3 linked regions of the Arabidopsis thaliana genome follow. The protein of the gene in region 3 interacts with the protein of the main gene of each other region in a pairwise test. Each region holds a gene or a part of one and is shown on either strand. Other genes may lie near its edges.

Region 1 (9,263 bases), on a different chromosome or scaffold from region 3:
GATTAGGCAAGAAGACACCATCGTCTTCAGCTTGATCGAGAGAGCTAAGTTTCCACTCAATTCTCCTGCTTTCGAGGAATCTCGTTGTCTAGATTCTGGAAGTTTCTCTTCTCTCACTGAGTTTTTCGTCAGAGAGACAGAAATCATCCAAGCTAAGGTTTGCTTCCCATTTTAAAAACTGATCCTTTTGCTAAAATTAGATACAGAGATATCAATGCTTCGTTTGATTCGGTTTTGGTATAGCATTGTTTTAGATTGTTCCATGAAATTAGCAGAAAGTAAGCTACAAGTCAACTTGATTGAGGTTTTAATAAGCCTGGATTCTTGAATTAGCATGCCTTTTGTTTGCTATGTGTCTCCTCCATTGCAAAAGATGATAACTTGGCTTTGCCTGTATAATCTCATTGTGTGATAACTTCTTGTTTTGATTTGAGTGCGAATCTGCCAATAAAAGGCTCCGACTTTATCATATGTATACGAGATTTCCTTATGAAAACCTCATTATATGTGGAGATTGGAAATGGAGGACTATTGTTTTCTATTTTTATAATGTCTGAAAGTCTTATTTCATTAATATATTCATCTCATTGGTTTATATATATTCTTAAGTTTCTGGATATTGAGCCTATATGTTTGTTCATTGGTTTACTTGAAAACCTTATGTGTATGTGTATATTATATAGGTAGGAAGATATGAATACCCGGAAGAGAATCCTTTCTTCCTTGAGAACATTCCTCACTCGGTTTTTCCTACGCACAAATATCCATCGGTATGTATGTAGTAAAGTCTTGAGCATTTTTCTTAGAACTCTGAATGCTTTAGTCTAACAGTACTTTTCTTTCTCTTGATTAGGCTTTGCACCCTAAGGCTCTATCTGTTAACATTAACAAACAAATCTGGGATATTTACTTTAAAGAATTGCTTCCTTTGTTTGTCAAACCTGGCGATGATGGCAACTATCCATCAACTGCTGCTAGTGATCTCGCCTGTTTACAAGTAAGGAGATGATTGAGTATACATAACAAAATCAGCTCTACTTTTGGCTAATGATGTCTGATCTGATATGTTTGATCTTGTGTAAGGCTCTTTCGAGAAGGATTCACTACGGTAAATTTGTAGCTGAGGTCAAATTCAGAGATGCTCCACAAGATTACGAGCCTGCGATTCGCGCTCAGGTAAACTTAGTGTCACATTGTGGATTCTGTTTCACTGTGGTTTTAAAATGATATGATTCACACCATAATCGTTTGATTTTCGACTGTAGGATAGAGAGGCTTTGATGAAGCTGTTGACGTTTGAGAAAGTAGAAGAAATGGTTAAGAAGAGAGTGCAGAAGAAAGCAGAAACGTTTGGACAAGAAGTAAAATTCAACTCTGGCTATGGCGATGAGAGTAAGAAGAAGTATAAAGTGGATCCATTGCTTGCCTCTCGCATCTACGGGGAATGGCTTATCCCTCTCACTAAGCTCGTTGAGGTTGAGTATCTTCTACGTCGTCTCGATTGAATATTATTTGTATCCAAATCTGGCCCTGTTAAAGTGGGCCTTAAGTTTTTAAGTGGGCCTGTTGATATTTGTCAGGATATGATAGAATAATTGAATGAAGCAACACAGTCATCACTATTTTAAATTTTGTAAGATATTTTAAGGAAAAGAAAAAAGTCGCCAGTATTTCGCTATCGAAAATCGTTTATTTATATATTTGATGATTATCCATTAGAGAACCCTTCAAAAAACTCTCCACTCAACTCTCTCTGGTCAGCTGTCTCTTCCCCATTCTCTAGGGTTTTCAAGCTCAACCTCAAGCTCCACTACGATCTCTTCTTCTTCTCTAATCTCAGGTCTGAATCTCTCCTTCTTCACTATCTCTGATGCTTTTTACTGAATCTGATTGAGGAAACTTTCCATTTTAGGATTTGTTGATCAAATACACTCGGTTTAAGAATTAGGATCATTCTCTTTTCGATCTAGTTTCATTAGACTCGTTCTTTTAGCTCTTGATTTTATAGATCTCGTTTTGAGGAACTGATTATTTGGTTGTTGACAGTTGAAAGATGCAAGGTGTGATTCGATCCTTCGTCTCCGGTGGAAATGTTGTGAAAGGCTCTGTGCTGCAACATCTCCGTGTGATTAACCCGGCGATTCAGCCTTCTGTGTTTTGTTCACGCTCTGAATCAACTCAACCTGCACGTATGGAGGAATCTGGATTCGAGAGCACAACTATTTCCGATGTCATGAAATCCAAAGGCAAAAGTGCTGATGGATCTTGGCTTTGGTGTACTACTGATGACACTGTTTATGATGCTGTTAAATCCGTATGCTTATACTACTCTCTTTTTCCTTTTTTAGATATCTCGATGTGGATTTGGAATTGATTGTGTTTGATTTTGTTTAGATGACACAACACAATGTTGGTGCCTTGGTGGTTGTGAAACCTGGTGAGCAACAAGCTCTTGCTGGTATCATTACAGAGAGAGGTAAAATTAGATCTAATCATTAATAATTTTTTTGTTGTGTCTTGTGGTATGTGTGATTCACTTTTCGGCATTGTGATTTCTCTAGATTATCTACGGAAGATCATTGTGCAAGGGAGATCATCCAAATCAACAAAAGTTGGAGACATTATGACTGAAGAGGTATGTAAATGCACGATTGTACGATTTTTTTTTTGCTTTTGTGGATTGAAACTGACTGGATCTGTGAACTGGCAATTGCAGAATAAGCTTATCACTGTGACACCGGAGACCAAGGTCTTGCGTGCTATGCAACTGATGACAGGTAAGCAGACAACTTGATATTTTTCCACTAAAGATACAAGCTTTTGGGTTTAAAACCTACTGAAGCAAATAAAAATGCGGGTTTGTGTTTTTGTAATGTACAGATAACCGAATCAGGCATATTCCGGTAATCAAAGACAAGGGCATGATTGGAATGGTGTCCATAGGAGATGTTGTCCGTGCAGTGGTTCATGAGCATAGAGAGGAGCTTCAACGCCTAAATGCGTATATTCAGGGAGGTTACTAGATCTTGAATAATGGAAAGAAAAGAGTTCCCTGTTGTGTCGTCTGGTCTTGTGCTGCTGAATCTGAAAAGCTTCCAGATCAGTGTAAATATGCAGTCCTCGTTGTTATTGTTGTTGTTGTTGTGTTTGATGTTTTGTGTTGTTTCGTTGTTTAACTTGTCAAAACTAAGGCCTTGTGCTGCTTCTCTTCTTGCGCTTACTTAGCAAGAGAATAAAACCAAAAACTCTGATCTCTTTATGAAAGATATGATGTTTGTTTTTGTTATCAAATCTTGCGTCAAGTATCCATGTGTGTTATGAAATAATAGAATTACTTTGAAAATTTGATTTCGGTACAAAGTTTCCGTGTCTTTGGACCATGAAAAATATCTTAACAAGTAAACCAATTCTTTGAATACAAACAAGTAAACCAAGGCAAAATATAAAACGATAGATTTTCTTCAAATCAAATCGATTATGGTGTGGTCACAATATCGTCTCTCAAGGGATCAAACTCCGGTGACCAAGCTTGCACCATGAGATAGCGATCAAACGCCCTCCATGGACCTCCTGTCAACGCTGCCATGTATTCCTCCTCCGCTTCGAACCGAATCATGAAAAACTTACGAGGGAGATCCACAACAGACATTGCTCCTCGTGGTTTCCACATCTCTCGAAGCTTTCTACTTAATGCTGATATTGTCATGTTACGCCCGGGCACTTTCACGATCAAGCTGTTCTTCAACAAACCATTCATCGCCGCCAATACCTCACTGCCAATTGTTATCACTGGTTCTCCATCCTCACCATCAGGGAACTCCAGTGTCATTTGCTCAGACACAAACTCATCATCTAAGATATCATTCGGATTTAGGATACCACCTAAATGTCCCCCCACCACTTTCTTCACCCACGAACCCGGTGCATCAGGAGGGTCTCCCGGAGAATGACCTTTCTCTCCTAGGTCCGTCATGGTCACATCTTGCGTTTCAGATCTCAAGCCTCCGGCGGCGTCGCCCATTTTCTCTCTATCGATTATATTGAGACCACATTTTAACACAATCTTAAAAATGTATAGCAAATGCTTAAAAATCTTGATTGACTTTAATTAATCATGGTTTATCGGATTGGTTTATCCTAGGGTGGGCTTATCGAGTTAGGCCCATTGGTTATGTAGGCTTATAGCTCGTAGAAAGACTTCATGCGTAGTGACGTGGTGAATTATTAATGGTTGATAAGGATCAAACATAAACGAGCCAAACCGGAAAAATAAACCGGGAAGTATTAAATCACAATTAGAGGCGGGTCTTGGTCTCGAGTCTCGAAGCGTATAAGAGTCAAATACAACTGTAGCGTAGCTTCAGATCTGGTTATTTTCTTCCTTCGTGTGGAACAGCCATGGCTATGGAGTTTCTGAGGAGCAGTAGAAGAATATTGGAATCTTCTGGATGCGCGATCGCTTTGATTTTTCTGCTCTTCATCCATGGAGCTCACTCATTCTATCTCCCAGGTGTTGCTCCTCAGGATTTCGAGAAGGTAAAAACGTTTCGAATTTGTGCTTCTAGGCTTTTAGATCTGATTTGGATCTCCTGGATCTGCGTTTCGATTTCCGCTAGGATTAATCCGTTCTTGATTCCCGAGAAAGCTAGAGATAGTGAGAGTTGGAGTGCTGATGCACCGACTTTTGGTTTAGCTATTTTTCTAATAGAATTGGTGATTTCACTTCATTTCCGCTTCACTAATCTCTCGATCTGAACAATGTAGCGTCTTAGGCGAGCTATATCGATATTTATTCTTCTGGATTAGCCTTATTCGCTGTAATTTTGATTACCTTTGTTAGGTTCTTAGTGATCTCTCGCTCTTGATTCGCTTGCCATTACTACGAAATCCAAGTTATGGGTACAAGGGCAATGTCGGTCCTGCATGTTATATGACGAGTCTCAATCAAAGTAGACTTGCATGTTTCACTTCAAAATCATATTCAAATTTTGAGTCTTGTTTTCTTGTATGTTGCAGGGTGATGAGCTGAAGGTGAAAGTGAATAAATTAACTTCCATAAAGACTCAGCTTCCATACTCGTATTACTCCCTTCCTTTTTGTCGCCCTAGCAAGATTGTGGACAGTACTGAGAATCTTGGAGAAGTGCTTCGGGGTGACCGGATTGAGAATGCCCCATACTCGGTTAGTCTCGTATTCAATTTTTAATTTTGTAATTCATCAGGCTGTCAAAAATATTATGTCTGTGATTTAACTCTAACCCTTGCGGGGCTGAAACAATTGCAGTTTAAAATGCGGGAGGCACAAATGTGCAATATTCTCGGCCGGGTCACTCTTGATGCCAAGACAGCTAAAGCGTTTAAAGAAAAGATCGATGATGAGTACCGGGTCAACATGTAAGACCAAATACAGGCACTTTTCTTTGATTATTTGTATGAAGAACATGCTTTTCTCTGTCAGTTTTATTATAAGTGTTTCTGGTCTGTGTTAGGATCCTCGACAACCTTCCTCTGGTTGTTCCAATTGAAAGAGTCGACCAGGGTTCTCCCTCTGTTGTTTATCAGCTTGGTTATCATGTTGGTCTTAAAGGCCAGTACGAGGGGGTAAGTAGGTTTTAATTGTTAAGACACTAAATGGAATTCATGCTAGATCGTTCGATTTTCTAATTTTGTTTTTGCATACGCAGAGCAAAGAGCAGAAGTTCTTTATGCACAATCACTTGGCATTTACAGTCCGCTATCACAGAGATATCCAAACTGATGCTGCAAGAATCGTGGGATTTGAGGTTAAACCTTACAGGTGCAGTTCTTGTTCATAATTTGAATGTCTCTTGGGATCCCCTGTCATTCAGAACTGATATTCCCTCCGTTGATTTGTAGTGTGAAGCATGAGTATGAGGGAGAGTGGAGTGAGAAGACCCGTCTGACGACTTGTGATCCTCACACGAAACGCCTGGTCGTTAGCTCGGCTACCCCTCAAGAAGTTGAACAAAAGAAGGAGATTATCTTCACATATGACGTCGATTTCCAGGCAAGTTTTTTCTTAAGTAATCTGCGGTTTGTGTCTTAAAAAAATTTCATGAATTCTTGTTTTCAATAGTTTTTCTGATTTCCTCTTCTGTTTCTGTCCAGGAAAGTGAAGTGAAGTGGGCATCTAGATGGGATACTTATCTTCTGATGAGTGATAACCAAATCCACTGGTTCTCTATCGTCAATTCTCTGATGATCGTCCTATTCCTATCTGGTATGGTGGCAATGATAATGCTGAGGACCCTTTACCGTGACATTTCACGATACAACGAGCTCGAGACTCAAGAAGAAGCTCAAGAAGAGACAGGATGGAAGCTTGTCCATGGTGATGTTTTCAGACTTCCTACCAATTCTGATCTGCTCTGCGTCTATGTTGGAACAGGGGTCCAGTGTCTAGGCATGGTATTTGTCACAATGATCTTCGCCATGCTCGGATTTCTCTCCCCTTCCAATCGGGGTGGTCTGATGACTGCAATGCTCTTGCTCTGGGTCTTCATGGGACTCTTTGCTGGTTACGCCTCTTCACGTCTCTACAAAATGTTCAAAGGAACAGAGTGGAAGAGAATCGCTTTCAGAACAGCCTTCTTGTTTCCTGCAGTTGTGTCAGCAATCTTCTTTGTCCTAAACGCTCTCATCTGGGGACAGAAGTCATCTGGGGCTGTCCCCTTTGGAACAATGTTCGCCTTGATCTTCCTCTGGTTTGGCATCTCAGTTCCTCTCGTCTTTGTTGGGGGTTACATTGGGTTCAAGAAGCCAGCGGCTGATGACCCAGTGAAAACCAACAAAATCCCGAGGCAAATCCCAGAGCAAGCTTGGTACATGAACCCGGTTTTCTCAATCCTCATTGGAGGAATCTTACCGTTTGGTGCAGTCTTCATCGAGCTCTTCTTCATCCTCACATCCATCTGGCTCAACCAGTTCTACTACATCTTTGGGTTCCTCTTCCTCGTCTTTGTAATCCTCATTGTGACTTGCGCCGAGATAACCGTAGTACTCTGCTACTTCCAGCTTTGCAGTGAGGACTACCTTTGGTGGTGGAGATCATACCTCACATCAGGCTCATCAGCTCTCTACCTCTTCCTCTATGCCACGTTCTACTTCTTCACAAAGCTTCAGATCACCAAACTGGTCTCTGCGATGCTTTACTTTGGGTACATGCTCATCGCCTCCTACGCATTTTTTGTGCTCACAGGAACAATAGGGTTCTATGCTTGTCTCTGGTTCACAAGGCTCATCTATTCCTCTGTTAAGATCGATTAGAGGATATGATGATCATCATGGCGATTAAGGAAACAAAGAAGAAAAGGTGATCATAGTTTATCTTATTTTTCTTTTTAAAATCGGTTTTGTTGCATTTTAGGTTCTATTTTGTTGCATACCAAAAGAGATTTTAATATATGTAATAGAGTGTATTTTGTTTGATTTGTCAAATAACAACACTTTCTGAGAATTTTTGCAATATAACCAATTTTTATAAATAAACTCAAATGAGAACAACAATCAATCATGGTTTGGTGATATCAAACTCTAACTTTTCCTGCAATCATAAAAGCTTTGTAAACGACGGAACGAACCAGATCAGAACCTCCCCAAGCGGTTTCAAGCTCTCTCACCAAACTCTCCGGTAACAACTCGACGCCTTTCTCTCTCGCCGTGACGATGGCCGACCATGATTTAAACATCCTTATGATCCCTTCAAACGACGTCGTTTTAGGCATCTCCAGCTTTAATGGCTCCCCTTCTGATCCCATCCCAACATTTTCGAAAGGAAACGGCAATGCTTCGTACGAATCGAAGATGTGCTGAATGTACGGATACTTCCAAAACGGCAGCGTTGTGGCGTGGAGCCGATACTGGACGGCGTCGAACTCTGGACTCACTATGACGTCGTTGTATCCCCAGACAGCGATGATTCCGCCTGGTTTACGGAGGAGTCGTGTGGCCACTGAGTAGAACCTAGGGAGATCGAACCAGTGTACGCCTTGGGCGACCGTGATTAGATCCACTGAGTTTTCTCCTCCGATTAATTCCACTAGCTCGTCGTCGGTCATTGACGTCGGCGTATGGCGATAATTGATTTTCGGATGTGGCGTTGCTAGCTTCAGCTGCGATTCACTCACGTCCGTTGCTACGACACTCTCGTAATGCTCTGCAACCTGCAAAATGGAGGCGAAATTTGTCAAATCCAAGATCTGATGCATGTTGTTGTGATCATTTACGAGCAAGAAGCTAAATCTGTTAAATCTAAGTTTGAAGCTCTATAAAAATTTATGAGCATCAAATACTGACGGCGAGAGCTGCTTGGCCATTTCCGGTGGCAGCATCCCAGGCTAAACCGTGGTGATCGGTGAGATCAGCGAGCTTCGAGAACCACTCAGAGGGGTAATTAGGTCTGGCGTCAAGGTATAGATCGGCTTGTTTATCAAACAATCCTGCCATTTTCTCTCTGTTTTGCTTCTTCTTTTCTTTCTCTCTTTTTTCTGATTAGTGTCTAGCCATGACTCTCTAGTCATATATAGTAGTCTTTTTAGCTTGTGGGAATCTCAAAGATAATGACCTCCAACGAAGCAGCATATCGCTTTCCTTCTCTATTTTTTAATTGGATTTTGAAGTAATTGTTTAGGTGTTTGTTGATGTTGATTAGGATTTTTGAGTTTCGGTGGGAAGATGAAACATTTGACTTTCTCTTTTTGCTTTCAAGATCTGTCAATCATACTATCGAGTTTGTGAATTTTGGCTAATAAAGCGATTTGGTTTCGTTTTTGTAGAATTTCAGACTGGTAGTTGAAGAAAGACGTCATTGCTTACAAAGTCAACAAGGTAAATGTCATTGTCAAGTGGGAAACTTTATAATATATCTTTTGTTTTTCCTCGTGTGTGAATGTCTAAACCTTTTTGAAAGTCTAAAAGGCATTTCCTTTACATTGAAAATAACGATTAAAGGCTCTTGCTCTCGATATTTTGATTTCAGATCCAATGTTCATCTCCTAAACAGTCAACACCATGGAAACACTAGAAACTGAGAAATTCTTCTCAGACGATAAACCTCTCCTAAAACCAATTTCAGATCATTCTGAGATCAAGACAAAAGCAAGAAGAAACGCTGTCGTCTCAGTTCTAATTCAGCCCTTCCAATGGTTACAAATGCTGAGTTCTAGGCTAAACCTGAGCTTCGTGCTAGGTGTGGTCCTTGTGTACGGTGTAAACCAAGGGTTCTCTGGTTCGATATTCAAAGTC
Region 2 (7,449 bases), on a different chromosome or scaffold from region 3:
GACCATGCAGGGACACAATTGTGCAACTTAAAGATAGCCAGTGCATAGAATTCCGTGGTTTGACATTTATGGCTATCCTGAACAGATACTGTGTTGAGTAGGACACTAATTTGGTCACTGAAACTACAAGATGAGGAACTTGGAAAAACTACGGGTTCAGGTCGAAGTTCGTCTCCAATAGGTTCTGGATTTTGGACAAGGAATCAACCTTAAAATCAGGTTGCAGACCGGAAACAGAAAAATCGTCTGGTCCATACCTTCCGGTTTCATCTAGCAAGCAAGTGAAGGCTCCAGCTCGTTTCCCACATGCTATCTGCAGAATCGAGAAAAGAAAGATCGATTACCAGTTGTAATCTTCAGTAAAGATGTGAGAAAAATAGTCTGAAAAGTTGGTAGGCATCCTTTCCACATAGAAAATCTTTAAGCAATGGCATGAGAAGATCCATTGTTTAAGCTTCTTTCATTGCATTGCTTATCGATTTGCTATGGAGAAAGGGTTGACCAAAGGCTTGTCATCATGTCTGTCACTCACATCATCTTTTAAGCTGTCACCAACCATCATGACTTCATTAGGTTGGATGTCCCATGTAGAACATATATGCAACAGCGGGTCTGGGTTTGGTTTATATGGACGAAACTCTCTGCCTAGTGCTGGAGAAAAGATAACCTATACAATGAAAAATAACTGTAAGGAACTGCCTCAGATTTCTTCTCTCTGATAAAAAAAAAAGAATGATCCAGCTAAACCTATCTCAGGCAGCTGTCAAAATGTCTTCAATTCAACATTCTTACCTCAAAACGTTGATGGAAGATGTCGATTGCCTTTTGAACATTGCGTGTAATTAGCCCCCTCCTATAAAGTAAAATACAAAATGTAACAACAGTCAAGTTATCTGAACAAGAAAACAAAAAATCATAGACAGAAGTATCTGAAAACCACAGACTTTATCTTTTTGGAATCAAGGAAGCCACATAGTTCAGCAGTACCTGCCACATAAATGATCACATATCAGAAGAGAATTAAACCTCTAAACGCCAAAGAAACACAGTACTCCTTCTAGATTTTCAACTGCTAAATCATCTTATAGAACTCAACAGCATAAAGTCAATGACCAGTAAAGGAATGATCTCAAATCGTGATGTGGGGCTCTAAGACAAAAGTCAAACCTCCGTTAGACCATAAAGTCTTCACTTTTAACAAATGTTCATTTTATCTTTCAGCCTTGAATTTGCAATCTTTTCTCATCTTTAACTCTACGAAATTCTCAATCTTTAACCCATTTTACGATAGATTATCAGACGAAAACCCAAATCCTTAACACTTCCTCAGCGCAAACACAAAATCAAAAATAAAAAAATAAAGCAGATGAATCCGTACCAGGCATGATTTGAAGCTTATCTATTCCTTGTTTCTCATAATCAGCAATGATTTCATACGCCTTCTGCTGTTTATCAGGACTCCACGACTCAATATGATGCAGAATATCAATCCCACTAGGGCTCTCTGCTTTGATTCGCTTGTAAGCATCTTCACCAAGAACAGCTCTATACATTGCGGCGAAATCGATGACCGGAACAGTCAGGGTTCCGTCCATATCGAATACAACACCTCTCAGGCGAGTTTTAGCGTTCGTCGTTAAATTCGCCATGGAAATCGAACAAGAAGGTCTGAGAGTGAGAGAAATAAATGTTCTTGATAAGAGGAAAGTCATGGAAAAGAAATGGTGATGCTCAAACTGAAATTGAGGCTCATAATTATTCTCTATTTTTAACCAATTTCGGTTCGGTTTAATTTGAACAACTTGGTTTGTTTTGGTTTAGTGGTTTTTCACTTGAGCATGTTTGTGTATGTGCTTAAGAATGGAAACAAAGACACCAACAATCTCAACAATAATGGTTCTGCTGCCTTTTCTCTTCTTACTCTCTTCCTCTTCGGTAACGGTTTCTTCTTCGGTTCGCTTGTTGGCCGTTCGGGAATGGTGGTACCAAGCCCGTCTAACTCGTCCCACCCACCAAACTTAGAAGCCATTCCAGCTGAACTACGGTTAACTCCACGGCCATTGACATTGTTTCTAACGGTTGATGGGTTGTATCGAATCCTGCTACTACTTCTCTCCACTTCTTCTTCTTCTTCCTCTATCCCGAATTGATTTGCTATTGATGTACCTCTGCGTTTATCCCAACCAATCAACTTCTGGAACGCATAAAATAACAATGATGGCCCGATTGCTACGGCTAGTGACACGAGGAAAGCTTTGGGTCCGGTGCTGAAGAAAAGCGATAAGATGATGAATGGGAGGAGATATCCATACGATTTGAATGCCTACAAAGTGAACATAAACCAAACACAATAAAGATCCCACACCAACAATAAGAGAGCAAAATCTGGTGTATGCAAATAAAATGCAGCTATATATCAACAAAGCCGTTTCTCTTATCTTTGAGCAGAAAGACACTATCTAGTTAGAAATCAAAACTAGTTCAGATTCACTACACAACGATATTAACTGTTTCTTACATGATCACCATAACCATTACCAAAGAACAATTTTGATACTTTAATCAATCAGCATTTTCAATTAGCAGTAGTAGATTCCCGGCTAATTTCATAATTAAGGCTTAAAAGATGCATGATTGAAACTAATTACCTTTAAAATCCAAACATTATCTACAATTTCCTCTAAGATCTTCCACAGGTCAAAATTAGCACTACCAATTCCACCACCACCATCATCTTCATCATCATCGTCTTCAACATTATCTTCAAAAAGTTCTTCCCATAGCTCCCGCCGCTTCCTTCCCCTTTTTCCCCTTTCCGTCAAACGGTATCCCCTACCGTCATCAGCGGCGGCGCATATTTTATAGCTGAATCTCCGGCGGTTCAGCTGAATTATCTTCGCCGAAGTTACTCTAGAGCATGAGGAAGAGAAACAGAGGAGTTGAGAACGAGAGGGAGGATAAGATCTAGGGTTGTGGAATCGCCAGACATGGAGGTTTGAGAAACTAAGATAAGTAGAAGCTCGCGGTAACGAAAGAGCTCCTCTATCCGCCATTAACGTCTGGCGAAGCGAGAACAGTGAAGAAAATGCTCTGCTCCATGTATAGACACACTCAACTTGCGCCACGTTGTCATCATCTCCTCCATTAGAATCGAATACTATAAACCGGCTTGGTCCAGGAGAAATGTTAGAACTGAAATCCGGTATAATTGCAGGGGTAATTTCGAGATCATCAAATGTCTGACCTGACACGCCTACGTGGATTCTCTTTTCTCTTCCTTTTTCCAGAAACGAGGGAGAGAGAGACGAAGCATCAAACAAGGCAAAAACAAAAAAAAACCAGGAGAGAATATTCCGAGGGAAAACGCGAGAAAATTTCTTACGTTCTGCGAGAATCTCCAGCTTTCCTGGGGAAATATTGGAAGGCAAAAGCCGAAGGGTTTAAGGTCTCTGTAATCGTCGGAGAAATTTGAAATATCGTCCGTAAAACGTGAATGTAGTCTTAATCTTCCGCATTTATAACGTCGATCAGAGATTTTGAAGCTAGTAGAGAGAGAGAAGCGTTTTGTGTTTGATTTATGGTGTTTGGATCCATGGTGTGGAAACACCAGCTGATTGGGTTCTCAGGGATTTTTTCTAATGTTTCTCCCGTTGGAAATCTTTATTCGGGATCATTTCTAGGAAAATCAGACCAGATTTGGCCGTGATAATGGTACGAGTCTCTCTTCTCTTATCTGCATTGCGATTTCTCCGTGTTCTTCATTTTTACCTTTTTTTTTTTATCTTCTGTAACCATAATTGCTATTTGAGCTGATTTTTATGTTGCCCCTTACATTTTAGATTTCATTATAAGATGTGTCTAAAAGAGAACAAAAGAACCAGCTAATGAAGCTTGACAATATTTTTTTTATTTGTTTCTAATATATTCTACTTTAATCAGGCTTCAGTGAAGGTAACTGTGGGGTCACAGGTCTGGGTGGAAGATCCAGATGAAGCCTGGCTAGATGGAGAAGTTGTGGAAGCTAACGGTCAAGAGATCAAAGTTAATTGCCAAACCAAGACGGTTAGTCCCTTTTCTCCAAAGCAACGAGACAATGTGTTAGTTCTTAAGGTACCTTAAGAATACATTGCTCATATTTGTGATGCATTTGTTTGTAGGTTGTGGCAAAGGTTAATGCTGTCCACCCCAAGGATCCTGAGTTTCCTGAGCTTGGTGTGGACGACATGACAAAGCTTGCGTATTTGCATGAACCAGGGGTTCTTCTCAATCTAAAAGCCAGATACAATGCAAATGAAATATATGTACGCTTCAGCATGTAACTCTTGTCAGTTTTCCTTCTTTCATTACACCCACTTATGAATTCTATGATTATCTCTACCATTGTTTTGCTGAAAATTACTGCACAGTTATAGCAATATCATTAATATTTCTCTGAAGTGTTTGTAGCAAGCTAATTTCTTCTTGATGGTTACAGACATACACAGGGAATATACTGATAGCTGTGAATCCCTTTAAAAGATTACCCCACCTATATGGAAATGAGATAATGGAGCAATATAAGGGCACAGATTTTGGCGAGTTAAGCCCACATCCTTTTGCTGTTGCTGATTCTGCATACAGGTAATCTTTTGTTGCATAGATGAAACTTTAACTAATGTTGCACTATCATTTTTTTTTGGGCCTCACCATCATCAAGAATATAAATTTAGAAAAATGATCAACGAGGGAGTAAGCCAGGCGATCTTGGTGAGTGGAGAAAGCGGTGCTGGGAAGACAGAGAGCACAAAAATGCTCATGCAATATCTTGCATACATGGGTGGAAAAGCTGAGAGTGAAGGACGATCTGTCGAACAGCAAGTTTTGGAGGTAGATAGTCTGTTTACAATGCATCTACATTCTTACTAGAGACAGACTCACTGAGTTTCTCTCTGTAGATATCTTCTTATTCTTCTCGTATTATGATCCTGTTATGCAGTCAAATCCAGTTTTAGAAGCTTTTGGTAATGCAAAAACCGTCAGAAACAATAATTCAAGGTGGAATGTCATTCACATTTCTTGATTTTTCAAGTTTATGTATGTTCTTGAAGTCAACCTTGACATATGTAGGCAAATCTCATATTGCAGTCGTTTTGGTAAATTTGTGGAGATTCAGTTCAATCATATGGGAAGAATCTCAGGAGCTGCTATTAGAACATATTTGCTGGAGAGGTCACGAGTTTGTCAAGTTTCTGATCCTGAAAGAAACTATCATTGCTTTTACATGCTTTGCGCTGCGCCAGAACAGGTAAACATGGTCCCTTGTATGTTTACATCAGGTCGAACATATGAAGGCTCTGTATGTCCAGTGCTTGGCCATATATGGGATTCATACTGAAAACTAGCTTCTGTTCTGAAATTTCAGGAAACTGAGCGGTATCAGTTAGGGAAACCAAGCACATTTCACTACCTAAATCAATCGAATTGCCATGCATTGGATGCAATTGATGATTCCAAAGAATACCTAGCTACGAGGAAAGCTATGGACGTTGTTGGAATTAGTCCTGAAGAACAGGTACCTTTTGTTTTTTCATTGACATGATCAGCAATGAGGATAACTCTTCTTACATTTTACTTTTGTAGGATGCAATCTTTCGGGTAGTTGCTGCTATCCTTCATCTAGGAAACATTGAGTTTGCAAAGAGCGAAGAATCAGATGGTGCAGAACCCAAGGACGATAAATCCCGGTTCCATCTAAAAGTTGCTGCAAAACTTTTCATGTATATGCTTCACTATTATGTGTTCTCGGATTACAGGTTTCTTGTCAATGGGAGGTAGAACCCTGATTGCTCTTTTTTGGGTAGGTGTGATGAGAAAGCTCTAGAGAACTCCTTGTGCAATAGGGTGATGGTGACTCGTGGTGAAAGCATTACAAAGCCTCTTGATCCCGGTAGTGCAGCACTAAGCAGAGATGCTCTTGCCAAGATTGTCTATTCTAAATTGTTTGATTGGTAGGTTTACAATAACGGCTTCTTTCTTAAGGGCTTATTATCAATCCTGGGATATAAAGTTTTGAAAGCTTACAAATTTATTGCTCCCAGGCTTGTGACTAAGATAAATAATTCCATTGGCCAAGACTCAAGTTCTAAGTACATAATTGGAGTCCTGGATATTTATGGATTTGAGAGTTTCAAGACAAACAGGTGCTTAACCGGTACGCTACCAAAATGTTCAATTTCCTTTTTCGAGTTGATTTATAAACTCCCTATACTGCTTCCTGCATGGCTGCCTATATGCTCTCTGATTTAGTCTTCTTCAAACATTGAGCAGATGGTTTGTTATTGGATTTCTTAAGTTTTAGCTACTTAGCTAGAGATTTTTTTCTGGTCTGGGACAATATTATTATTATTCTCATAATTGATTGTTCCTAGCTGTTATATGGTTCAACTGATAGCAGTTTTAATGCTTGTGTTACAATTACAACGTTGTCTTTCTCTTTTCACATTTTGCAGTTTTGAACAGTTTTGTATAAACCTGACAAACGAGAAGCTGCAGCAGCATTTCAATCAGGTTGGAGACTGAGGTTCTTTTCATATTTTTGATTCTTGATTGATCTAATTTTATGCTGATCCATATTCATGCATATGTTCCTCTCTTCTACAGCATGTGTTCAAGATGGAGCAAGAAGAATATACTAAAGAAGAGATTGACTGGAGTTACATAGAGTTCATTGATAATCAAGATGTCCTTGACCTTATAGAAAAGGTAAGTAGTATCACAATGAGTGGTGTTGGAATCTTTATTCCGTTTTCTAGCAGTTCCAGTTTCATACATATTTATTGATTTCTAGCACCTAATACAGAATTGTTCAATGTCAGAAACCTGGTGGAATTATTGCTCTTCTTGATGAGGCTTGGTAATGTACCAAAGCGTCATGTTCTTTCTTCACTGATTTCTTTTTACTTCTTCAATAAGTGGCTGAGTTTGTGTATGCCTCTACAGTATGTTCCCAAGATCAACACATGATACACTTGCAGAAAAGCTATACCAGACATTTGGTAGCCACAAGCGTTTTACCAAGCCAAAATTGGCTCGTACAGACTTTACCATCTGCCATTATGCTGGTGATGTTAGTGATTTAATTTACTACAGAAGTTTGTGCTTAAATGTTTGTCTTTAAGTAATGGCAAAAATGTCAATGTGGTGTAATGACTGTATTGATGTTCAACTTCAGGTCACTTATCAGACTGAACTATTTTTAGACAAGAACAAAGATTATGTTGTTGGAGAACATCAATCTCTCATGAACTCTTCAGATTGTTCCTTTGTCTCATCGTTGTTCCCAAAATCGCGAGAGGAATCGTCCAAATCATCAAAGTTCTCATCAATAGGCTCTCAATTCAAGGTCTACTAATGATGTTAAATTCATTAAATTCTTCTTATATTGTTTTTCCGGTGATTCTCACCATGTTA
Region 3 (7,497 bases):
CGCTTCCCGGAAGCCGATTTTGAATCGACAGATCTCTCTCCACCTGGGAAATCATTGTTTCCCTGCTCTCTCTCTCTCTTCTCAATGCGCTACGCCATTAACGATATAATGCATTGCTTGTAACAATGGCAGGTGGCAAACGCCGATTGAACGGATTTATCCCGGCGGCGAAACTGTGAGTGAAGTAAGCAAAAGAGAGAGAAATTTTATTTATGTTATGTATGTATGCGCTCGTGCGGTGGAAGCATGATCGATTAATCACATGTACTTGAGTATTTATTTGGCTTTTCTTATGTGTTATAGTTCTTTAGTCTTTTTCTTTCTTCAATTCTTTGATTTCAGTTTCTATGGAAAACTATTGTTAAACGTGAGAATTCAATGCATCGGTTTCTACGTATGGTCTAATTTGTATTGGCAGAGAGACTTGTCCAAAAATAGCAATGAGTTTCATACACATTTTTCAGTTTTTGGTTAGAAAGATGAAATATTTTCAATCAACCAACCTATACTAAATTTGAAGGTGCGACAAGACAATATACTACAGTTGTCTTATCATCCAAACGAGTGGGTTAAACAACTGAAAATCCAAAATTAGTAGTTTTCCAACCATTGTGAAAAGGAAATCAAAAGACACAACTTTCAGAATGCATAGACATGGACCTACTTCTCGACCTGATTCAGTTGTCAATATGTGAAGAAGGAGATGCTATATAAAAAAAGCCATGCGGCCAAATGAGCTTATTTCTTTTGTTATAGCATGATCATGAATAAGCAAAGTCAACTAAGCTATCGTCTACATTGGCTATTGAAGTTGCTGCCTAAACGTAAACGAAAAGCATCCACAGATTACGGAAAAGCACAAAATGAGAAGATGCAACACTTGGGTTATCCATGTGATTGATGCCCATTTGTAAAAATTCAAAGACAGGTTCATAAAGGTAGATTCAATGATAAACGACAACAAAGTCCAACCACATCTTCAAGATAAACTAATTTATAAATGACTTCTCCTCATAACACAAACACCAACATGAACCCTCGTGGTTAAGTTGGCAAGCTTAGCCTTTTCAATCCTCGTGCAAAGTTCCCAAAACATCCTCGTCCCGGAAGAGATGGTACCTGCGTCCATCACACAAACACAAAAGTTACTCACTTTGAGTCAAATTCTTCTTCATTTGTAATTTCTTATTCGTTTCTAAAATCAACCCACCAATCAATATGTAAATCTGGTGTTCAAATTGGCATTATTAAACATTGATCAAAATGTTTTTAAATCCTCTGTTACAAAATTTTCAATATCTTCACAGTCTTACAAGTAATTCCCTTAGTTCCATCCATTAATCTAATTAATGGATAATGATTCCTGAACATGATTAGCTAAACATAAAGGTTCAATTAGATCAGATCAGAATTTTATCAGAATATTAGGGCAATAATAAGAAAGAAGCGGGTTTAACTTACTCGTTCTCGCCGAGCTTGACCTGTGTACCACCGTACTCTGGAAGAAGAACAGTGTCGCCTTCCTTCACAGAGACCGGAATCAATTTCCCGTCCTTATCCCTTGATCCAGGTCCAACAGCTATCACCTTGCCTGAGTTCAGCTGCAATCACCCAAAAATATGTTTATTTTTCAGATCTAAGAGGCGAAAATCAGAAGAATCAAATCGTGAAATCAAAGCTCTTTTACCTTGGAGGATTTCTCAGGTAGGAGAATGCCGCTTTCGGTTTTAGCGGGCTGGATGACTCTCTGCACCAAGATGCGGTTGAACGTTGGGATCAGACGCTTCATCATTTCTCAATTCTTCTTCTCTCTCAGTTGATGAATCGGAATTTTCTAGGGTTTCTGAGTTTTTAATTTGGGGCAGAGACACATAAGACGGAAGGTTCTAGATCGTAGGGTTTAGCGCGACAGAAAAAGGCCAAGGGTTTTGGGATTGTTTGGGCCTATAATATCATACTATTTCTTTAATGGGCCTCACTCATTAAAAAAAACCAGTCGCATTTGTGTTTGTCTAAATAAATTCTTGGAAGTGTTGTATGACCTTGCAGCTCAAATGGTTAGTTCCTTCCATGATTCTCTTTGCCAAGTTTTTCAAACTCCATGTACAATCCCATTTCATATACCACATCCAGAATGAGATGTTTATTTTCGGCAGATTTTTCGTGGAATGAAATCTTGACCTTTCTTTTATCAAACGTCTCTGCTGATGATGGAAAGCTTCTTGCTCTGTCAGTTTTCCCCATTTCTTTCAAGGTGGTAACCAAAGTTTTTCCCCGGATTGTTGCTTTGCTATGCTATATGTTTATTACATTGTGCCTCTGCGGGAATTACATGCTCTTAATTTTCAGAGTACAAATCTGAATAATCCATGTAAGCCAATGGTACGGTTCCGGACTTATACAAACACCATACAAATGTTCCAAGATACCAGGATTCGAATTTGCTATAACAAGATTAGGCACAAAGCTGAAACAAAGAGAGCTGGCGCCACTAGCCACTTCCATCGAGTTGGCCTTGAGATAGAAGGTGAGCCATGTATTGCTGCATTCACAATAAAATGAGCTCAATTCTTGGTTCTAACCCCACATGATTCGACAAACATTTCTATCAATGGCACCACAAAGTCAGTACCATCAAGATTCTAGACTTATGGAAACTGACCTTTACAACACTAAAATATCCGCACCACAGAGATTATCATAAAGAGATTGAAGAAACTTACGGAGTGGTAAACGTATGGAGATTTTCCCTGGCGATCAAAATGCTTAGCCATTATGCAGAATTCAACAGGACCCCAATCTTCAGATTCATAGCAATTCCCAAGCGCCGCTTTGTACAGCTTTACTCCAATAAACCCCAATCATCAGTTCCACACAGAACTAATCAACTATATAAACTGTAAACGACAACTCAAAATTGTCATCAAGGACAAACCTTAGCTGTGTCGGTCAAAAGTTCGGTGCCAGCAGGGTAAGATGCATAAAACTGATCTCCCCTGGAATATCCTGCTCTTGTTCTACACAACATTCGAATCAGTAACATTAAATCAAATTAAACCTGAAGCAGAAACCAAGAGAAGAACCCAGAAATTGAAATCATCTGCGAATTCCGATATTGAAAAGAAAGAACAACCAAAAGAAGCAAACTGAGATCGGACGAAAGACATTACGTGTTGTTTGTATAGAAGAATGTGAGGGCAGCAGTGAAGCAGTAGAATCCGGCGTAAGAGACAGCCCGTCGTAGCTTCTGGATCTTTATAACCTCTGAGCAAACATCCAAGATCATCATCTTCACACCTTCGGAAACTCTTTCAGGTATTATATCGAACACCTTGTGATCACTTTACCAAACAGAGATGACGAGTAGAAGAAGCATCTCACGAAATTTGCAATTGACAAATTGTAAACGCTTTGTATTGTCCAACTTTTTATGGGCCTATCTGACCTTTTTCTCTTTTCGGCCCAATAAAACTTTTAGATTTTATTTCTTTTGGCAACAATAAATTTAAAATAATATACATTATGGAAAATCATCTACAAACAAAAACCTTTAAATTAAAAAACTCACATGTTAATGCAATTAGGTTAGTAAGCAAGCACGTCTTGACAAAAATGTTATTGTTACACATTTAAAAATTCACATGTTATACAAGACAAAACATAAACGTAATGTTTTGCAGTCAAATAATGAAATAAATGAAATAATACAAAGGGATCTTTATGTAAAGGCGTCACCAATTAGTGGAAATAATGGAGCAAGCCACTACACTCTTCATATTGCTTTCCACTCTCCTCCTCGCCGTCTCCGTTGAGTCTCCTCAGCCACCGCTATTTCCCGATGAAGCTCTCCCCACTAAATCTGGCTACCTCCCGGTTAAACCCGCACCCGGCTCGTCCATGTTCTATGCCTTCTACGAAGCCCAAGAGCCAACCACACCTCTTCCTGACACTCCGCTCCTCGTTTGGCTCCAAGGTGGGCCAGGCTGCTCTTCAATGATTGGCAACTTTTACGAGCTCGGTCCCTGGCGTGTAGTTTCACGCGCCACAGACCTCGAGCGCAACCCCGGCGCATGGAACCGTCTATTCGGACTACTTTTTGTGGATAACCCAATAGGAGTCGGATTCAGCATCGCAGCCTCACAACAAGACATACCCACAAATCAGAGACAGGTCGCTGAGCATCTTTACGCCGCTCTCGTGGAGTTCCTTGAACAAAACCCAAGCTTCGAAAACCGACCGGTTTACTTCACTGGAGAGAGCTACGCCGGGAAGTACGTTCCAGCCATTGGATACTATATCCTTAAAGAGAAACCCAATGGGAAAGTGAATCTAAAGGGGCTAGCCATTGGAAACGGGCTGACCGACCCGGTGACCCAGGTTCAAACCCATGCGGTCAACGTCTACTACTCGGGTCTGGTCAACGCAAAACAGAGAGTTGAACTGCAAAAAGCGCAGGAGATATCTGTAGCTCTCGTGAAGTCCCAGAAATGGCGTGAAGCAGCAGACGCGAGGACCGAACTGTTGACGCTACTAAGTAACATGACAGGACTCGCGACGCTCTACAACACGGCACGGGCGATTCCATACAGAACAGACCTCGTGGTGGACCTCTTGAACCAGAGAGAAGCAAAACGTGTTTTGGGAGTGAGTGAAACGGTTCGTTTTGAGGAATGTAGTGATGAAGTAGAAGATGTGTTGCGGGCAGACGTGATGAAGAGCGTAAAGTTCATGGTGGAGTACGCATTGGAGAGGACTCAAGTCTTGCTGTATCAAGGTATGCTTGATCTAAGAGACGGCGTCGTTTCGACGGAGGAGTGGATGAAGACTATGAACTGGTCAGGATTGGGAATGTTCTCGACGGCGGAGAGGCGTGTGTGGAAGGATGAAGACGGTGTGGTCGCTGGTTATGTTCAGAGATGGGGGAATTTGTGCCACGTGGCGGTTACAGGAGCTGGTCATTTTGTTCCGACAGATAAAGCTGTGAATTCAAGGGATATGATTGAAGGTTGGGTTTTGGGGAAAGGATTGTTCGGTGGTAAAGATGTGAAGCAGACAACTTCGTCGAGCTTATACCATTCAATCTAAATATTGTGTACTTGTACTTAGTTCTGTAAGATTCAATTCAGATTCTAATTGTACTCTGGATTTAGATTTGTTACGTCATGTTCACAAGTTCATTTTAGTACGAATTGGTAACTTTTGCTACTTAGTTTATCATTTGCCTGTTCCTGAAGTCTTAAACTTTCTCAAAAAAGTTAGCATACAGTATACACTTAAGGATTGATTCAGATAAACTGTTTTGGTAAGAATAAGGAGATTTGAAGCATAAACTAAAGAATTTTTAAAAACATGTAATGGCGATTGGAGGCGGGATTGTGAATGAGATTCAAAGTGATTTGAGTATAAAAAATACACAAAACACAGAGAAAGCACAAAGAAACCCGTACTATGAAGCCATTTTGGTATTAGGGAAAGAAGAGCAAGGGCACCCCGTAGAAAACCTACAGGTATTTCAGAGCTATTTATCAAAATCTCTCCCCTGTTTTTTGCCTCTTTCCCGATTCAATTTTCTCGGAAAAACATTCGCGGAAAACAGAAAGAAAACTACTAATCATATGAAAATCAATCTTTCGCCTAATTGTTGAGAGAATGATATTCAGAACATCGAAAAATTGAAACAAAATTCATTGGAACCCTAATGACGGCTCCTGCTAAAACCTGTGAAACTCGCAACTTTATAGTGCGAAATTAGGAGAGTTAGGGCGGACGATAATCCTTTTAGTTGGGCCGAGAAAAAATTGGGTTCAGAGTTAGGTAACTATTAAGCCCATTGGGCTACTGTGTATAATCTATGTCCATCGTTTGACCTCACCATTGTTAGAACAAACAAAAAAAATAGACATCACTTCACCATTATTTCTTAAATTAATGTTAAGTATGAGAGTACCCCATGATTCCTTAATTAATCATATGGATTGATTCGTACGTTTTTTGGATGTAAACAAAGGAGAGGTCAATGTACATATAATTATTGGTTGATAAATTATGAGGATAGTACGTTAATGGGATTGACATTTAATGATATCTCCAATTTAACACCGATCCATCTTTTTCATCGGAGCTTCATGTTTGATGTTTTTTTATTTGGCCGTGTCGACAAATTTGTAAAAGACGTGTAAAGCTGAAATTGAGAAGAAACAAAAGTGAAATTGTAAGGAAACGTGATCGATGGTGACCCCATCAATATTACGATAAGGTAACGCGCTAAAGCAGCCTTAGCCGTTTTTATTAAATATTATCCAAATATAACTTATAAATAATCCCACCAATTGTGTCTCCTAAGCAACAGAAAATGGAAATGATACTGATCTCGTCATCGACACTCAGGTTCCATCCATTGAGGACATCACAAAGAATCGCCACCGGAACCAATAGAAGACGAACCACCACCGTGTGTGCAGACTACTACAGAGGAGGAAGAACGGTGGACGAGAACATGGTGGTCCTTAGGAAACGAATCCATGAGATGAAGATGGTTGAACGCAACTTTGAACCTCCTTCTCATTGGATGCAATGGGAGAAACGTTTCTACTGCAACTACGACGCTACTATATGTGATGCACTCACTCTTCTCCAAACTTTTCTCATGAACTCTCGTCCCAGCGTCGCGTTTGGAACGTGTCTTCTTCTCCTCGTCAGCGTTCCCGTCTCCTCCGCCGTTTTTGCTTTTCGCATCCTTGATCTAGCTCTTTGGCTTTTGGACGCCGTTCACGTAGTATGATCCGTAAATATCTTTGTTATTTTATCTAGAAACTATCTTTGTTATTTTATGTCGAAATTAAGGTAATTTTCCAAAACTAAAATGGAATTATTTATTATCAACAAATACCTTGAGAAATTCTATAATGATTTTGTTTAAAGAATCCTAATTTCATCTTTTTTGGAAAAATAAAAATAAAAAAAATCCGTACTTCATATGATTTAGGAAAAAAAAGTAATCAGTGTGAAGTAGTAGAAGAAAATCCTTGCTTCATATGACTAGAGATCCGTTGATTATTCGGAATACCGGAAAACTAGAGTCTCTCAGATCTGTTGATTTCTCAATACAAGAAACGAAAAAACGTGAAGAATTCGTTGATTCTCTGCGAATACCGAATCCTACGTCTTCTTATAATCGTTGAAATCTTTCAAGATCTACCGAAAAGAGAAGAGTATTCTAAAAACTCTTTAATTTAATTAATCAATTAACTGAATACAAAAGAATGTATAAACGGCTTATTTATAATAAAACCCAAAAATCAAAATAAACAGTAAAATAATCATATAATTATCTAAAATATAAATAATAAATAATATGGAGGATAATGATTGAAGATATTTGAAAATTATCCTAGTTACGCGCTGCAGTGTATATAAACTCTCAATGGATAGTTATCAAAAGAGTATGTAGCAAATAGAAAAGAGACGAGACAATTCAATGGACGTAACGTTACCTCA

What was found. The genes of interacting proteins can lie anywhere in the genome.
Region 1: the proteins of AT1G14990 (region 3) and EMP1 interact in a protein complementation assay, tested with the Arabidopsis thaliana proteins (one large-scale study listed by BioGRID).
Region 2: the proteins of AT1G14990 (region 3) and AT2G33250 interact in a protein complementation assay, tested with the Arabidopsis thaliana proteins (one large-scale study listed by BioGRID).

What each region holds. Positions count from the first base shown.
Region 1 is NC_003076.8:3,422,933-3,432,195, reverse strand, and holds EMP1 (Endomembrane protein 70 protein family), read left to right. Parts: upstream 1-4,298; 5' UTR 4,299-4,398; coding exon 4,399-4,536; intron 4,537-5,016; coding exon 5,017-5,181; intron 5,182-5,283; coding exon 5,284-5,393; intron 5,394-5,488; coding exon 5,489-5,600; intron 5,601-5,683; coding exon 5,684-5,796; intron 5,797-5,876; coding exon 5,877-6,027; intron 6,028-6,128; coding exon 6,129-7,286; 3' UTR 7,287-7,508; downstream 7,509-9,263. Other genes in the region: CM2 (chorismate mutase 2), read left to right, coding at 1-157, 684-770, 854-997, 1,084-1,176, 1,266-1,505; CBSX3 (Cystathionine beta-synthase (CBS) family protein), read left to right, coding at 2,054-2,314, 2,395-2,476, 2,562-2,635, 2,717-2,777, 2,881-3,023; AT5G10830 (S-adenosyl-L-methionine-dependent methyltransferases superfamily protein), read right to left, coding at 7,547-8,182, 8,316-8,465; AT5G10820 (Major facilitator superfamily protein), read left to right, coding at 9,030-9,263.
Region 2 is NC_003071.7:14,093,058-14,100,506, reverse strand, and holds AT2G33250 (uncharacterized protein), read right to left. Parts: upstream 3,139-7,449; 5' UTR 3,054-3,138; coding exon 2,649-3,053; intron 2,324-2,648; coding exon 1,829-2,323; 3' UTR 1,756-1,828; downstream 1-1,755. Other genes in the region: AT2G33255 (Haloacid dehalogenase-like hydrolase (HAD) superfamily protein), read right to left, coding at 149-313, 533-667, 793-853, 945-987, 1,379-1,712; XID (myosin XI D), read left to right, coding at 3,593-3,649, 3,940-4,062, 4,158-4,301, 4,475-4,620, 4,710-4,866, 4,976-5,034, 5,125-5,284, 5,402-5,551 and 8 more.
Region 3 is NC_003070.9:5,164,863-5,172,359, forward strand, and holds AT1G14990 (uncharacterized protein), read right to left. Parts: upstream 3,403-7,497; 5' UTR 3,290-3,402; coding exon 3,171-3,289; intron 3,018-3,170; coding exon 2,936-3,017; intron 2,841-2,935; coding exon 2,724-2,840; intron 2,663-2,723; coding exon 2,633-2,662; intron 2,543-2,632; coding exon 2,492-2,542; 3' UTR 2,169-2,491; downstream 1-2,168. Other genes in the region: AT1G14970 (O-fucosyltransferase family protein), read right to left, coding at 1-55; CPN10 (chaperonin 10), read right to left, coding at 1,068-1,119, 1,462-1,601, 1,688-1,792; scpl50 (serine carboxypeptidase-like 50), read left to right, coding at 3,751-5,085; AT1G15010 (mediator of RNA polymerase II transcription subunit), read left to right, coding at 6,353-6,781; AT1G15015 (F-box family protein), read left to right, coding at 7,478-7,497.